Oryzias latipes: one gene and its partner. The protein of the gene in region 1 purifies or fractionates together with the protein of each later gene. This does not show direct contact. Links are inferred from orthologs where the notes say so. Each region holds a gene or a part of one and is shown in the gene's direction. Other genes may lie near its edges.

The links.
Region 2: the proteins of mad2l1 (region 1) and kif20a purify together in Homo sapiens (affinity purification with mass spectrometry; 4 studies listed by BioGRID and IntAct, with this or other methods). This does not show direct contact. The link is inferred for Oryzias latipes from reciprocal best matches to the Homo sapiens genes MAD2L1 and KIF20A.

Annotation. Positions count from the first base shown.
Region 1 is NC_019876.2:30,700,195-30,707,977, reverse strand, and holds mad2l1 (mitotic spindle assembly checkpoint protein MAD2A), read left to right. Parts: upstream 1-3,083; 5' UTR 3,084-3,204; coding exon 3,205-3,268; intron 3,269-3,737; coding exon 3,738-3,884; intron 3,885-5,519; coding exon 5,520-5,640; intron 5,641-6,493; coding exon of another isoform or gene 6,494-6,496; coding exon 6,497-6,600; intron 6,601-6,677; coding exon 6,678-6,859; 3' UTR 6,860-7,069; downstream 7,070-7,783. UniProt on the Homo sapiens protein: Component of the spindle-assembly checkpoint that prevents the onset of anaphase until all chromosomes are properly aligned at the metaphase plate.
Region 2 is NC_019872.2:14,182,073-14,189,569, forward strand, and holds the start of kif20a (kinesin-like protein KIF20A), read left to right. Parts: upstream 1-2,659; 5' UTR 2,660-2,885; intron 2,886-3,102; 5' UTR 3,103-3,108; coding exon 3,109-3,282; intron 3,283-3,484; coding exon 3,485-3,595; intron 3,596-3,684; coding exon 3,685-3,804; intron 3,805-3,882; coding exon 3,883-4,021; intron 4,022-4,108; coding exon 4,109-4,284; intron 4,285-4,359; coding exon 4,360-4,459; intron 4,460-4,594; coding exon 4,595-4,807; intron 4,808-4,907; coding exon 4,908-5,019; intron 5,020-5,093; coding exon 5,094-5,168; intron 5,169-5,245; coding exon 5,246-5,386; intron 5,387-5,488; coding exon 5,489-5,657; intron 5,658-5,745; coding exon 5,746-5,898; intron 5,899-6,094; coding exon 6,095-6,234; intron 6,235-6,431; coding exon 6,432-6,534; intron 6,535-6,646; coding exon 6,647-6,845; intron 6,846-6,928; coding exon 6,929-7,020; intron 7,021-7,096; coding exon 7,097-7,234; intron 7,235-7,497. Other genes in the region: cationic amino acid transporter 2-like, read left to right, coding at 1-93, 825-927, 1,141-1,274, 1,349-1,515, 1,695-1,803, 1,914-1,999. UniProt on the Homo sapiens protein: Mitotic kinesin required for chromosome passenger complex (CPC)-mediated cytokinesis. Following phosphorylation by PLK1, involved in recruitment of PLK1 to the central spindle. Interacts with guanosine triphosphate (GTP)-bound forms of RAB6A and RAB6B.

The DNA of each region.
Region 1 (7,783 bases):
CAATCCACACAGGCCAATTCACTTGCTGGTTTCCCACCTCCAGAGTCACAACAGCCTCCCCCTGCATGAAAGTCCGTTCTCCAGTAACAGTCTGTAATGTTACAGCGTTAGGAAGGATGGCTGCATTATTCCTCACCACTGCAGGGCAGTGTTGCAGATGAACCTGTGTCCACTAAAGCTAAGCATGACGCTGCATCAACACTCATAGTTGTGAACCAGCAGTCACCAACCCAGGTTCGGCCCAAAGTCATTAGTCTCTCAGATGGGACTTCTTTGACCCCCACATGGCCAGCATTCCATTTCTGTGGGTCCAATCGGGATGGTTTTTCAGGGGGCCACATTGTCCCGCTTATGCGGTCCCGTTCCTGTTTCCTTGGTTGTCCGGGCAGTCACGAATCAAGTGCCCAGGTTTCCCACAACCCCAGGAGGTCCTGGGTCAGCTCCAGTCTCTTTGGGGGCGGACCTTGGATGCCTGTTCGTTTCTCAGGGTCACAGCTTTTACTAGCTGGGTCAGCTCCTCTGCCCGTGCAGGCCCCTTGGTGTCAGGCTCTGATACACTTGCAGCTCTAACCTTTGGAGGGGCCTCAAGCTCCACCCTGGAGGAGGGCCTCCACAGCATTTTTCTCTCTGTGGCCAGCTCCAGGGCCTCCTGCAGTAACTTACGGTGCGCTGGTTGGGTTTGAACGCGAAGGTCGTCTGGTCCCGGGCTAGCTCTTCCTGAATGGCTGGGGGCATGTGAGCATAAATCTGGTTAACTAATCTGTCGATGTCAACAGCCAGAACTCTTAATTGCTCGCCTTGGCCGAAAGAGCTGCCCCGGTAATGCAATTGTAGCGTCCCTTTCCCACACACTGAGGCACGGAGACTTAATCTCTTAACCCTTGTGCTATTTTAGATGACCCCCCCCTTCCATTGAGGTGTTCTCCCTACCATGACAAAGGGGGATAAAGGTGGAAAGATTTCATGTAATCCATGGACACCAGTGAAGATCACAAATCATTGAAGAACAAAGGTTCAGAGCACTGTCTAGTGGGTCTAGATGACCCAACTCCCAACGTTAAAGTGCCTAGGATAGCACAAGGGTTAAGGTTATTTATTCTGGTTACTGTAGGCTGTAACCAATGCTGCACAACTTGCCCAGAAACTCTTGTATCCTCCCGCTGAGAGCACTCCCCCAAACTTTATTCCCTTGCTCCTGCATCAGCCCCATTTCCTTATTCGGGCCATAGCTGAACCCTATTGGACCAAACTCCCCAACTACAGGTTGAGCGACAGAACTGAGAGCCAATCAGCATTTCTGCTTGATGCGTTCAATGAACACCGGAACTTAGAACGCGACCCCACAGCCACCCAGTACACTGTGTTACATAATTTTTCACCACACTGGTTTAAAAAAATAAAAGACCCTTTTGGGTTATGACAGGTTCTTAAAAAATATTTTCCAATAACAAGCAAAAAGAATTGAAAATTGTAATGAAAGCTCTTCCCTCAGGATTATTTCAACTAATGACCTCTCCCCGTAACCCTTGTGCTATCTTAGGCACTTTACCGTTGGGAGTTGGGTCATCTAGACCCACTAGACAGTGCTCTGAACCTTTTTTCTTCAATGATTTGTGATCTTCACTGGTGTCCATGGATTACATAGCGCACCTCACTCCACTCCGTGCTGAAAACAAATCCACACACACACACAAGAAAAACGTGCCAAAGAAACTTCCACTACACACTAAAAAGGAAATAAATACAGTGAGGAAGACGCTGCCACAAGGGGCCCCTTCACCAACACCACACGCACTGGCGCCCGACTCACACCTATGCAACAATAAAAAGGAATCAGAGTCAACAACACAATAAATACAGCACCACTCTAAAACACATTAAAATGTATAATAAGGGTGGGTAAAGAACACGCAGTGGCTCATGACATCTGCAACACGTCCAGCCGCTAACAGAATCTAGTTAAAAGAGCAGAATAAAAATGAGTAACCGGTGATCTACATTCTCCGACAAGAGGAGCTTCAGCCATACATACCACCATGCAGGCAGGCAGCCACTGTCTGTCAACTCACTCCCTGTTCCTTATAAAGAAGCAGAACAGCTGAACTACATCCCCAATCAAGCAGGCATGCACCTGTCACAGGCCGACCTGCCGGTTACTCAAGGGTGGGGACATAAGATAGCACAAGGGTTAAATATCACAAGGCATCTAAAAATAGACCCTCTATTGACAATTAATGATATTGATATTTTCAATAAAAAATGCTACAACAAACATATATTTACTACTTTATATGAAAAAAGAAGCATAACACCTAAAGGAGAAATTTATTGGAATAATATTTTAACTATCATTTGGACAAAAGCATAGTTACTGCCAGAAACATTTGGCATAAATAACAAAATTAAAGAAATACACAAATGAATTCTACATAACATTTACCCCACACTATGTTCATATTCAAATTCTCAAATATAGGAAATAACTGTAGCTTTTGTAATGATTTCCCAAAATCAGTTCTTCGCCTTTTCTGCCATTGTCAATTCTCCCTTAAATTCTGGATCCAATTGAAAAGATTTATAAGCATGAACAGTACTATTATTATATATTTCAAACACATTCTTACATATTTTAACTCGCAGGATCAATTGGTAGGAAATAGTATTGATTTGTTACTACTTCTATTTAAATAAGTGCTGAGTAAAAAAAACCAAAAAAACAATTTTACAGGATTTTTGATAGAGATTATCAATTTTACTAATATCTTCAAAAGATTATTACATTCAAGGCATAACACTGAAACAATATGAGCTTTTTTGCTTGATGAATAGTTCCCTCTACTGAGAAATACTTTAATATATTTTTATTTATTTTTGTTTTTAAATTTTCCTTTTTGCTAACGATGTCCCTGTTAATTTTATTTACATACTATAATTTATTCTTTATTTTTTAAGATAACATTGATTTTTGCCATCTGACGGTAAACTTGCCGATGTGATGTTTACTGTTGTATAAATAAAGTTTCAAAAAAAGAAAAAAGTCATTTTCTCCTGTCTAGGGTTGACCACGTGGGGAGGTCTGTCTTTTTTGCGCATGCGTAGAGGTTGTCACTGATTTTTCAAATCGGACGGCGGGTACCAGTTTCAGCCTTCAGTGCAGCAAGAAGCCCGACGTTTCTTTTCAACGGTTGATTGTCATTTCATGAAATGACGAGTACTTTAAAAGGAATCACCCTTAAAGGAAGCGCGGAGCTGGTGGCCGAGTTTTTCTGTATGTTTCAACATTTGTTTCTGTACTAGCCGGGCTTTTCAACGGCTCTTCCTCATTTGTTGTGTGCTAGCGGGCGGTCGGGCCCGCGTGCTCGGTTGTTGTGTGTAGCCAGCGAGTGTATTTACGGCGGCTCCAGACCGAAGGCAGAGCCCTAAACCGTCGCAGCATTTTAAAAGCCTTCCTTCTGAAGCCAACTTCTTAAAGATCGAATGGCTGCTTCTGGTCGATGTGTAGGTTAATGGCGGCTTTCTAACACCGCCCACCGCCAGGTGTGCTGGTAAAGAAGCCGAGCGTCACCAGAGTTAAAGTAGGAATGCTAGATTTCGGGTTGAACAGACACAAACTACTTATCATCGGCTGAGTAACTAACGTAGAGTAGTGTGGACGAAAAGAGTGTTCTCAGTCTTTGACCTGAATTAACGTCACAACCCCCCCCCCGCTAATAACAGCCCCGTGATCCTCCCCACAGCCTTCGGCATCAACAGCATCCTGTACCAGCGGGGCATTTACCCCCCAGAGACGTTCACCAGGGTCACTCACTATGACATGAGCCTCCAGGTCTCCACGGAGCCCAGGCTGAACAACTACCTGACCAACGTGGTGTCTCAACTCAAAGGTAGTTTGTCCTTTCTTTGTCCTAAAGCAGGCCGTGTCTGTTAGGACTTTATTTTTCTATTTCTTAACATGGAGGCAATGATCAAGATGCAATTCCTGTCTGTCAGCGTCCAGCAAAGGCTTATTGAAGACAAGAGGCGTGGGATATTGTTTCTCTTTACAGATTTATGGGATATGGAGGTGGATGTTGGGATGATTGACACCTCATGTTGTTTCCACGTGTCGATGTGCCTAAATAGTGATGTTTTCCTGCCCAAAAGTCCTCTAAAAGCCCAAAGAGTTCATCATAATTTAGGGTCAGACGCAACATTGAAGAATTTACACAGATTTCTCAAAGTCATTACAGAAATGATGAAATGCATAGATTAAAACCGTAAGTCACATTTGCTTGATTGAATGAGACACAAACTTGTCTTTGTGGTTCTTGTCAGTTTGGTCTTGAAGTTCCTGCATCCCCTCACTTTGTTCCTCCTTCATTTTCTAAGAACTCTTTTGTGTTGTTTGGTATTGAATGGTAACGATTTCCCACTGGCTCTGAATAGAAGTTAAAACACAACAAGATCATACAGTTTTAGAAGTCTGGATTGATCAAATTGTTTGTATGATCAGGATATCCGGCTTTATGTTCAGTTCTGACGGCTCATTTTTGAAGTAAACAGAGGATGTAGTGAACTCTTAGAATCAGTCCCCCAAATTTCTACACAGTCGGTCAAATATGGTAAAATTAAGGAGCAGTGTAATAAATATCTACTGTCGTATTTTAATATGTTTAGATTTACTTATGATGGAAATACTTTTGGAGACTTTATTTTGTGTGTGTCTGATGTGAGGCTTTAACTTAGTTTGTCATCGATAAAAACGCCTGAGAATCTGAATTCTGTAACACTTTAAATTAAGACATTTATTTTAATTGAGACATCGGTATTGGTGTAGTAGTTAGCAAAATATGTCACACTAGTTTTATCTGGGTTAAAGGAGGATTTGTCGTCAGCCATGATTTTATTTTGTGTGACCCTTGTTCTATCCTAGGCACTTTAACGTTGGGAGTTGGGTCATCTAGACCCACTAGACAGTGCTCTGAACCTTTTTTCTTCAATGATTTGTGATCTTCACTGGTGTCCATGGATTCCATGACATCTTTCCACCTTTATCCACCTTTGTCATGGTAGGAATAACACATCCATGTAAGGGTGGGGTCATCTAAGACAGCACAAGGGTTAACTCTATGTTCACCACATTAAGTTCCCTATGATTGTTTGTAGAATGGAATAGAATAGATCTGTCATCAGCAAATAATGAGTTTTAATAGTTGTGAGACATTGAATATATCATTTATGTAAATACTGAATAGCAGCGGGCCCAGAATTGATCCTTGTGGGACACCACAAGCTATCTATCAAGAATCAGCAGAAAATTAGCATCCTGAAGACGTTTGTGTAGCTCGGTTCGTGTGTTGGTGGTGTTGAAACAGCAGGAATAGGTTTTTCTTGTGTCATGTTAGAACAGGCTTGTTTTCCAGATGGACACACCTGGTCCAGGTAAAACGGGACGGTGATCTGCAAATCTCTGAGCCTGGACTTACCTGGTCTGCGTGTTAGGCCTTAAAGCAGGCGTGTAACGCGGGTTTGGGTTTCAGAATGGCTGTTTGAGTGCAGCGTGCAGAAGCTGGTGCTGGTCATCACCTGCCTGGAGACCAACGAGGTGCTGGAGCGATGGCAGTTTGACATCGAGTGTGACAAGTCGGCCAAAGAGAGCAGGTGAGCCCGCTCTCCAGTTCCAAATGTCTCAAGAGGAAAGGAGCTTCTCCAGGGGCTGGCTATCCCACCACCGCTAGCGTGATCCGCGGCGCGCTGTGGCGTGGACGAGAAGCGCATTTCTTCACATAGGCGTGTTCTGAAGCAGAGTTTACATTTAAATGTAGGTCAAGGCTAGAAAACCCATGTTGTGTGTTTCTCTAGCGCTGGCAGCTAAATGCTAACGTAGAAGATATGCAGCTATTGATGACGCCATCCAGGACTGGTAATGTTCAAATGTTTCCATAACTGCTGGAGGGGGGATGGGCAGGAGCTGGGAGGAATTGGGATTCGGTTTAAACCTTAAAAAAGGTTTTCTGTGGGGTTGGGACTCGGCATGTACTCCAAATCAGGTTCTCATTCTGAGGGAGCAAACGTTTCTGTGGTTTTTATTTCAGGCTGCTGCTCTGCCGTCCAAATAGCTACAATGACTGAGTTTATGGAGAAAAGTGTCTTCAAATCCGGACGTTACAACCGCTCCACAACGTCATGAATAGTAGTCGGTCTGCTGCGTTAGCGCTCAGAAAATACACATCATGGGTTTTATTTAAAAAGTCACGCATAAACAAAGTCATGACTTACATTTAAATGTAAACGTCTGTGCTTCAGCGCACACCCACGTGAGGAAATGCGTTTCTCCTCAACGCCACAGCGTGACGCGGATCGTCCTACCAGCAATCCACCACGGCTCCTCCTTTGAATCACTGTGGGACACCACTACAGCTCCAAAATGCCCCTTCAGCTGGAGCCAGAGGGGTAGGGGGGCAGTCCAGCCTTTGTTTCTGTGTGCTGACCTCTGACTCTGATCCTTTCAAAGCAGTGCTCCCAGAGAGAAGTCCATCAAGACCATTCAGGATGAGATCCGCTCCGTCATCAGACAGATCACGGCCACCGTCACCTTCCTGCCTCTGCTGGAGACGCAGTGTGAGTTCCCATAATCCATCTGTGACTCCTGCAGCTCCTCCCTGCTCGGCCGGCCCTCTGATTAGTTGTTCTTGCAGGCTCCTTTGACCTCCTGGTGTATACGGACAAAGACTTGGTGGTTCCTGACAAGTGGGAAGAGTCGGGGCCTCAGATAATCGACCAATCAGAGGAGGTGCGCTTGCGCTCCTTCACCACCTCTATCCACAAAGTGAGCAGCATGGTGGCGTACAAAAGGACCGACTCGGCTTGCAGCACCTGAGCTGCAGACGTTTACTCTGAGCTCATGAGGAACTCCTGCTTTCCTGGACTGGACTTTCTTCTTTGTTGGAGGATGAGGCGAACCTGTGCTCAGTGAGATCTGATGGAACTTTTTGTTAGTTTGTCTGTCCGATCTGTGTTTTCCTGATCTTTCTCCCCCTCAGAAGATGCTTTCGTTTTTTTACATCATTAAATTCTTTTCTCAGTGTGATTTGTGTTTTGTGCGGGGAGCATTTTTGATGCAACTCCCAGCATTCAGTGGGGGTGTAGATTTACGCGATGCATTGAGGGAATTTACAGCGGGAAAGAATCAGGTTCATGAGTGCTGCACCGTGGTCGTCCTGATCATGAGCTGGAGACGGGCGGGCCTGGCAGAACCGTAGGGTTCCTCACTGTACTGGGGGGGTCCGTCTGCTGAGTAGAAGACTAACCCATTTTAAGGTGAAATTCTACAACTTTTGATCAACTACTGAGCGAAAGTGAAACTTTCATAAAGTTATAAGTTCCTTAACCCTTGTGCTATCCTAGGCACTTTAGGCACAGAGCTCTGAACCTTTTTTCTGCAATGATTTGTGATCTTCACTGGTGTCCATGGATTACATGAAATCTTTCCACCTTTATCCCCCTTTTTCATGGTAGGGAGAACACCTCAATGGAAGGGGGGGGGGGGGGGGTCATCTGGACCCCATAGGAGAGCACAAGGGTTACATGAACAGGAGTCAGCCAGAGCCTCGGACACAGACGTGTTGGGCAGCAGATCTCCATCAGGCACCGGTTGTTTCAGTAAACGTGTAGACAAAGATCAAGTCGACAGTTTTCTTGGTCTCTGCTGCCATTGGCAAAAAAGACAAACACTGTTTTTAGTTATTTTAATATATTGAGATGGTTCTTTTATCACAAGACGCTGGAAAGATTCAGAACCATT
Region 2 (7,497 bases), on another chromosome or scaffold:
TGGCTAGGGACGGGCTGCTCTTCAAACCTCTCAGTAAAATGAGTAACAGACAAAGTCCTGTAATAGCTACACTGGCTTCAGGAATTGTTGCAGGTAAAAACTCTGATCACATAGATATACTTTAATAGAGATGCAGGATGTTTTTCTTTAACCAATCAGCCATGAAATGCCTTTTGCATCATTCATACTATCTATGAGCACCACAACTTAACGTAAATTCCAGAGAAAATAAAACAAGCTGGGATTTGAACTTTCCAAACTACTGGCACTTTAAACTTTTAGAACTACTGCATAATAATATTAACTTTTCAAGCCTTTTCACTTGATCATTGTAACTTTAGTTGGCTAAAATTACAAGACAAGAATTTATTCGGAACAATACAGATTCCTTCTTTCTGTTTGTGAATATAATTTTTTAACTAGAAAGAATCTTATGAATGTGTGCAGTATGAACACATTTCAGTTCAGAAATCTGCTGTACGCTTCCTGCAACAACTCTCTTTGTCCAAAAATGAGAAGTCGCAGACATTTTACTGACTCGAGTACATTTATGCTTTATTCTTCTTAGCGCTAAAATGCAAAACTCAGTATAGAAATACACTTCAAGATAAACTAGATAAACCATTGTTTTAATAGAAGTATGGCTAATCTGGAGTCTTTCCCTTGAGACCTTTTGCTTTTCTGGTATTTTTTTCTTTTCCAAAACACTGCTTTATTTATTTAGAATTACAGATATAAAGTTTAAACCTTTAAATCTACATTTAACTTTAATTAAATGAGGTCACAGGCAAGTGTGTTTATATGCCTATTGTTTATATTTGCAGCTTTTATGGCATTGCTCTTTGACCTGAAGGCACTAGTTGATATGATGTCGATTGGAACGCTTTTTGCCTACACACTTGTTGCTGTTTGCATACTCATATTAAGGTATGGTTTTATTACGTTTTCTAGAAAAAGGTGCTTACATTAAATTTAGTCATGAAAAATTCAGCTCTCTGTGTGTATCAGGAAAATACATTTCAATGAAGGTTGTGTTTTAAACTACTAACCATAACTGTCAGAACTGTTGCTAAAGTTTGGATAAAACTTCTTGGAGCTAAATGCAATACTACATATCTTAATATGCTCTTCCTCATAAAGGTACCAAGTTGACCTCAATGAACATTCAATCACAGGCAAACCAGAGCCTTTCACAATAAGTGGTGTGTTAAGTCCTCCATCTCAAGCAACATTCCGGACATCAAAAAATGTGTCTCTTTTAACTCTTTTTACTAGTAAGTAATTTTTCAAATTAAACTAAACACCATATTAATTGCTATTTTAATCAAACACTAATGTTATGTTGCAGTTTTTTTAGCTGTCATCTTAAGCCTTTTCCTTCTGGAGGCTGCCACCGCCCTGCACACCCATCAGGTGTGGAGTTTGCTTTGTGTCATTGTGCTTGTGCTTATGCTGGTTCTCACAGTTCTAATTATCTGGAGACAGCCACAGAATACATCGAAAGCTGCCTTTATGGTATGTCTCATTTTTTTGTTTTTGTTTTTTCTTCATGATGGAAATTCTTTGATGAAACTGCTAACTAACCATGCTTAGTAAAATAACTGAAAATGAAAGCTGTCACTGAGAACTCACTAAATGATTCTCGCACATATCCATGGGTTTGTCATAACACTTGCACTCCTTGATGTGTGCAGGTTCCTTTAGTGCCCCTGCTTCCGAGTCTTAGCACTTTTATTAATGTATACCTCATGGTTCAGCTTGGATCAGACACCTGGATTCGCTATTCAGTGTGGATGGCTGTAGGTATGAAAAGAATATTGCACTAATTTGAATATTGCTTTAACATTTCTCAAAACATTGTTTTGCATGAGAATAACCACTAGTGATGTCTTTTATGTCTTTTTTTTTATTAGGCTTAATCATCTACTTCTGTTACGGAGTTCAGCACAGTGTCCAAAAACAAAGGCTCCAGAATTCACAGAACCAAGTCCATTTTTAAAGCATTAATGCCACGAAAGAATGAAATTACTGGACCTGGGAAAGATTTTTATTGGTTGACCGTGTGCATATCTCACAGTTGTGTTTTGTGTATTTCTTCCTTTATTGTATGTACAAAAAACTCTTTCTCAATGCTACTATGATTTATCTTCATGTCTTTTTTAGGTTGATGGTGTTTAAGCTGAATGCTTTTATGTAAACCACAAGAATACCAATGTTCTTTATAGATTATATGCAGGCTATGTTTAAATACAGTATGTAATAATTATTGTATTTTTTTATTCTTCTAATTATGCAACAGGGGGTGAAAAAGTTTGTTTTCTTCTTTCAGTTCCCTTTAAGATTGTGTGTGAAATTTTGTTTTTGTTTTATGGAAATGAAAGCAAATGAGTAAAAATATTAATATTAATATAAATATTAAAAACAATGAAACGGTGCACAAAAAATTTCGATCTTTCTTTCGATCTTTTTGGTTGGTTTGCCTTTACTGTTCTTCTGTTTGTCTTTCAAGTTTTATTTTATTTTATTTCATTTTATTTCAGGAACGAAAAAGGAACTCACAAGTTTCGTTTATGTTTCAGAAGGAAGTATTTTAACTGAACACCGTGTCTTCTGCTTCCAGCCAATTGGAGCATAGCATACGCCCTCAAGCAGCCAATCAGCACCTAACTGAGGAGAGCAGCGCATTGTTCAAAAAATTTCAACGCATTCAGGCGGAGTAAACAGCCCGGTAGCCCAGAAAACCGCAGTTGAAAACCCATGGAGAGGATTTACCAGATATTTCGATAGTGTTTAATTCTTTAGACAATTTAGGTGAGACAGAAAGGTTGGCTATTTCAAACATTGGGATCTAAGCGAAGGAATTTAAATCTGACCTGTGCTAATCGGTAAGTTTTTGTTTTGAAAACCTGAATTTTCAAGACATGACAAAACATATAAGGAATAAAAGTTAAGTTGTGCCAATAATTCCCCAAAGTATGCTATGTTAGGTAACATTTGAAGTAAGTGTGTGTTTAGCATAAATACAAAATAGATTCTTCTGTAAATTTCATTTAGGGAGTGCCAACAACACTCATAACGGGAACGTGGTGTGTTTTGTGACAGGAAAACATGGCGTTGGCGTTCTCTTTATCTTCTCCATATGGATGTCCATCCGACGAGGAGGAAGAGATGGCTGTGTTCGAGTCCACAGCAGCAGAGCACGGATGCCTGACCAGGCCGCGTCTGCCTGAGCTCTCGGTCATTTCTCCTGGTCTGGAGCCTCGATCATCTGTTGCAGCTCAGGTGAGGATCTGCTGAATCTTGCAGTTTGGAGTGGTCAAACACAAGGTTTTTGTTCCCGCTATGCACCAAAAATGTTAAAATAATTTGTTTTTTCCTATTTTTATATTTTGAATTTTGGCGTGTTTAGTGTCAAACTTATCAAAATATTAGGGAAAAAAAGCTATAAATTTGGCAGCAATCATTGATTCATGTGTTTTTTCAGAAAGTAGTAAAGAAATCTGGAATCTGTGATGAAGGGAATATGGAGAAGGTGAATGTTTTCCTGCGTATCCGACCGCTTACAGACTTGGAGAAAGAACAGGGCGAAGAGCAGGTGAGTTATGTTGTCATTTCCACAAATACTTTTTTGTGGTTGTTTTCAGTTTTGATGCTTTTTACACTTAATTTTTGCTCCTCTTTCAGGGCAGTGTGACTGTCCAAGATGATGCCACCGTGCTGCTCAAAGCTCCAAGAGAGTCTCAGAATTCAAAGACGGCAGAGAAGGGAGTCACTCAGAGCATTCACAAATTCAGTTTCTCCAAGGTAAAATAACCAAACACTGTATGGTACCTCTAGAAAAGATGGATCCACAATTTTCTGTTTTCTCCTGTTTTCCCAAAGATCTTTGGTCCAGAAACGACGCAGCAACAGTTTTATGATGCCACGCTGAAGAAAATGATAAATGAAGTTCTTAAAGGAGAGAACAGGCTTCTGTATACATATGGTGTCACCAACTCTGGAAAGACCTACACCATCCAAGGTCAATTTTATTCATTCCCTGAGATGTTTTCAGCACAGCATCTGGTTCCTTTACTCCCATATTTGAGTTTTGAATGCCATTTTACAGGCAGCGGTCAGGAAGCAGGCCTCCTGCCTCGAGCTCTAGTATCCCTGTTCAGGAAGCTGCAGGGCCGCCTTTACAGCGCCATGGACCTGAAGCCTGTGATGTCTCAGGATGTGAGGCAGCTCGACTCAAGTGAGGTCAAGATGGAGGAAATTCGCAAAAACTCTCTGCTCAAGGAGGTAAATAGAAATGGAAAGAATGGTGCTATACTTAGATTTTGACACGTAATTTGAGGTGTTTATCGTTATTGACAGGATGAAAATCTAACGTCTCGGCGAGCTGGGACTACCACAGTTTGGGACAGCGGCGTTGGAGGACTTTCCTCCACAACTCAGATCACTACACAACTGGAAGGTGAGGAGGAAAGCCACGTGTTGACAAGTTCTGTCATTTTTAGATGAAAGTAATATGATCTAGTGAGGCATTTCCTACAGGCCCCCACTGTAAGAACGTATTCACCTGCTATTAGACCAAATTTTCTTTTTGCAGACACTGACAGTGTGTGTTTGGAGCCGGACAGCCTTTCTCTCAGTGGAGGGGACGACCTGGAAGAAGGGGTGCAGTTTTCCATCTGGGTGTCCTACTTCGAGATCTACAATGAGTTCCTGTATGACCTGCTGGATACCTCACTCTCCCTGCAGTCCCGAAAAAGAATCACACTGCGGCTGAGTGACGACAAGCAGGGCAACCCCTACGTGAAAGGTAACACCAGCTGGTCCTCTGGAACAAGTCTCTGCTTTGTGTTTGACTGTATAACATGTATACATAACGTTGAGTTCTTCTTCCCCTTTCATCGCCACAGACCTTACCTGGATCCAGGTGCGGAGCGCAGAAGAAGCCTGGAAGGTTTTAAAAGCTGGATGTCGAAACCAGAGCTTTGCCAGCACTCATCTTAATCAAAACTCCAGCAGAAGGTAGGACCCCAGCAAGAGGTTTTCTGTTTTGAATTCTTTTTGTAGCATATCTAATGGTTAATTCATGAATTCAGCCACAGCATCTTTTCCATCCGCGTTCTGCACGTCCACCCCGATGCAGTTCCAGGGCAAGCTTTGCAAATCAGCGAGTAAGTTCAGCTGCAGCAAGCTCAAACTCAGTGACATTATTTTGGGCGCTGCCATGTTTTGATCATGCACTTTCCAGGCTGACTGTGTGTGATCTGGCCGGATCTGAACGCTGCAAAGAGCAGCGTCTTGGAGAAAGGATGAAGGAAGCCACCAACATCAACACCTCCCTTATGACCCTGGGGCGCTGTATCAGCGCCCTGAGGCACAACCAGAACAAGTAGGTGTAAAACTGACACTTTGGTTGGACCGAGCAGAACAAAATGTGGGAGCTGAGTTGTTGAGTGAGGGATATTCAAAGTATTTTGTATCCCGTCAATAGATCACGGCCACCTCAAGTGGTACCCTTTAGGGACAGCAAACTGACGCGCGTCCTGCAGGGCTTCTTCTGTGGGCGGGGAACCTCTTGCATGGTGGTCAACATCAACCCATGTGCTTCCACCTACGACGAAACCCTTCAGGTCCTCAAGTTCTCTGCAATTGCGACGCAGGTCAGAAAACGAGTCCTTTACCTCGACAACTGGACTGGTTTAGCACTGCATAAAAGGACAAAAATGAAATAAAACCGTTCTTTTGCAGCTCGTCCACGGCCCATCTACTAAGACCAGAGTGGCCTACATTCTGTCCATGCTTCGTGAGCAAACGGCCAACAGGAACGAAAGCACTGTGATGGAGGAAGAAGAGGAAGAAAGTGATGTTGAAGACGGAGACATCACCATGTTAAACACTGAGGTAAATGTGTTGGATCTATTCCTGGTGTTCTGTTTTATCTCTGACCTTAAAAAAGATGTAATTTTCTTCTGAGAAATCTGATTTCACTTTGAGTGTTACAACATTTTGCAAGTGTTATGGAATATTTAAGATGAACATCTCATATCTGAAAAATTGTTCCCATTTTTAAATAGTTTAAATGTTTTACATTTTTAAGACTTTGCTGCAAGCAATTGATGTCCTAAAGCGAGAAGTGCGGCGCCAGCGTGAAGAGAAAGTGGCTCTGGAGGCCAACGTGAGGGAGCAGGTGGTCTCTGAGATGATGGAAGTCATCACCAACATGCAGGAAGGTTTCAAGTATGTGTTTTTTGAATAACAATCAGAATTAGTTGTCAATAAAAGTCAGTTGGGGTCAGTTGAATTTAAACTATCAAAAGAAACATTACATCCATGATTCTTTTTTGTGTCAGTGACTCAAAAGTAAAAGTATGCAATAAGTACACGTTTTTCTTTGTTGAGACGGCTTCAGGTGCTTAGCAGTTGCTTTCTTTTAGGGAAACCCTAGAGACTGAGAAAGGTCTGATTGAAGAGCTGTATGAAAACAAGATCGCCTGCCTGCAGAAACATCTGCAGAAATTCTACAGCCGAGAGCTCGAGGTCAGACTTGGATTTTCTATTTTTTTTTTTTTAACAGTTATAGGTTTTGTTTCCTCATAGAGGGTCAGGGTAACCCCCATGTGTCTAAAATCACTGTATGGATGTTTCATAGGAGCGGGATCAGGAGATTGAGGCTTTAAAGGCAGCTCTAAAAGAACAAAAGAAGGCAGCGGAAGGACCGGTCTCTATGCTGGAGCCTTTAGGAGACTCTGATTGTCCTCGGCGGTCGCAGCGGCTCAGCTCCAACGACGTCTGCAGACTGCGAGCTGAACTTGAACAGTGTCGCATCGAGCTTTTCGCCAAGACTCAAGGTAATTCATTTTTTCATGCATGTTTAAAAAGGTTATGTGAAATCGGCTAAATATTGAGTGTCTTAATCTGTTTGAATGCGCAGAACTAATGAAGCTGAGGGCGCAGTCCGAAGTGCCTGGTTCAGCTGGAACTGTCACTGGTGCAGCTGAGCGCAAGCTGCAGGGCTGTCAAAGGGTCAGTCCACTGTCGACTTCTTTTTTTTTTTTCCATTTGTGATTTGTACGAATAAAGGTGATTCATTCTCCAACAGAACCTGCGGCAGCTGCGTCTGGACTTGCTGAGGCTGGGAGAGGAGCTGCAGTCTGGGGAGAGAGCCTGCTGTCGCAACACGGGCGGGGAGAGGCTGCGCCACACATTAACGGCTGCAGATGAGACACTTGTTAAGCAGGTACAGCCGCTTACAGCCAGGAGAGCTTAATCCCTCTGTACACTCTGACTCTCTTGGTGTGCTCGGTCTTCTGTAGCAGGAAAAAAAGGCTTAAAATATGTGCCATTACACTTTCTTAGCTTTTCATGTCAGATGTGAGCAAGCCATCATTACAGCATTTAGAACGTAACTGTTCAGGTGTTTAATTCTCTTTAAATCTCTTTCTTCCCCCCTAAATTCTCTCTTTAACCCCTTGTCATGCACAGGCATCTTTAAAACTAAAC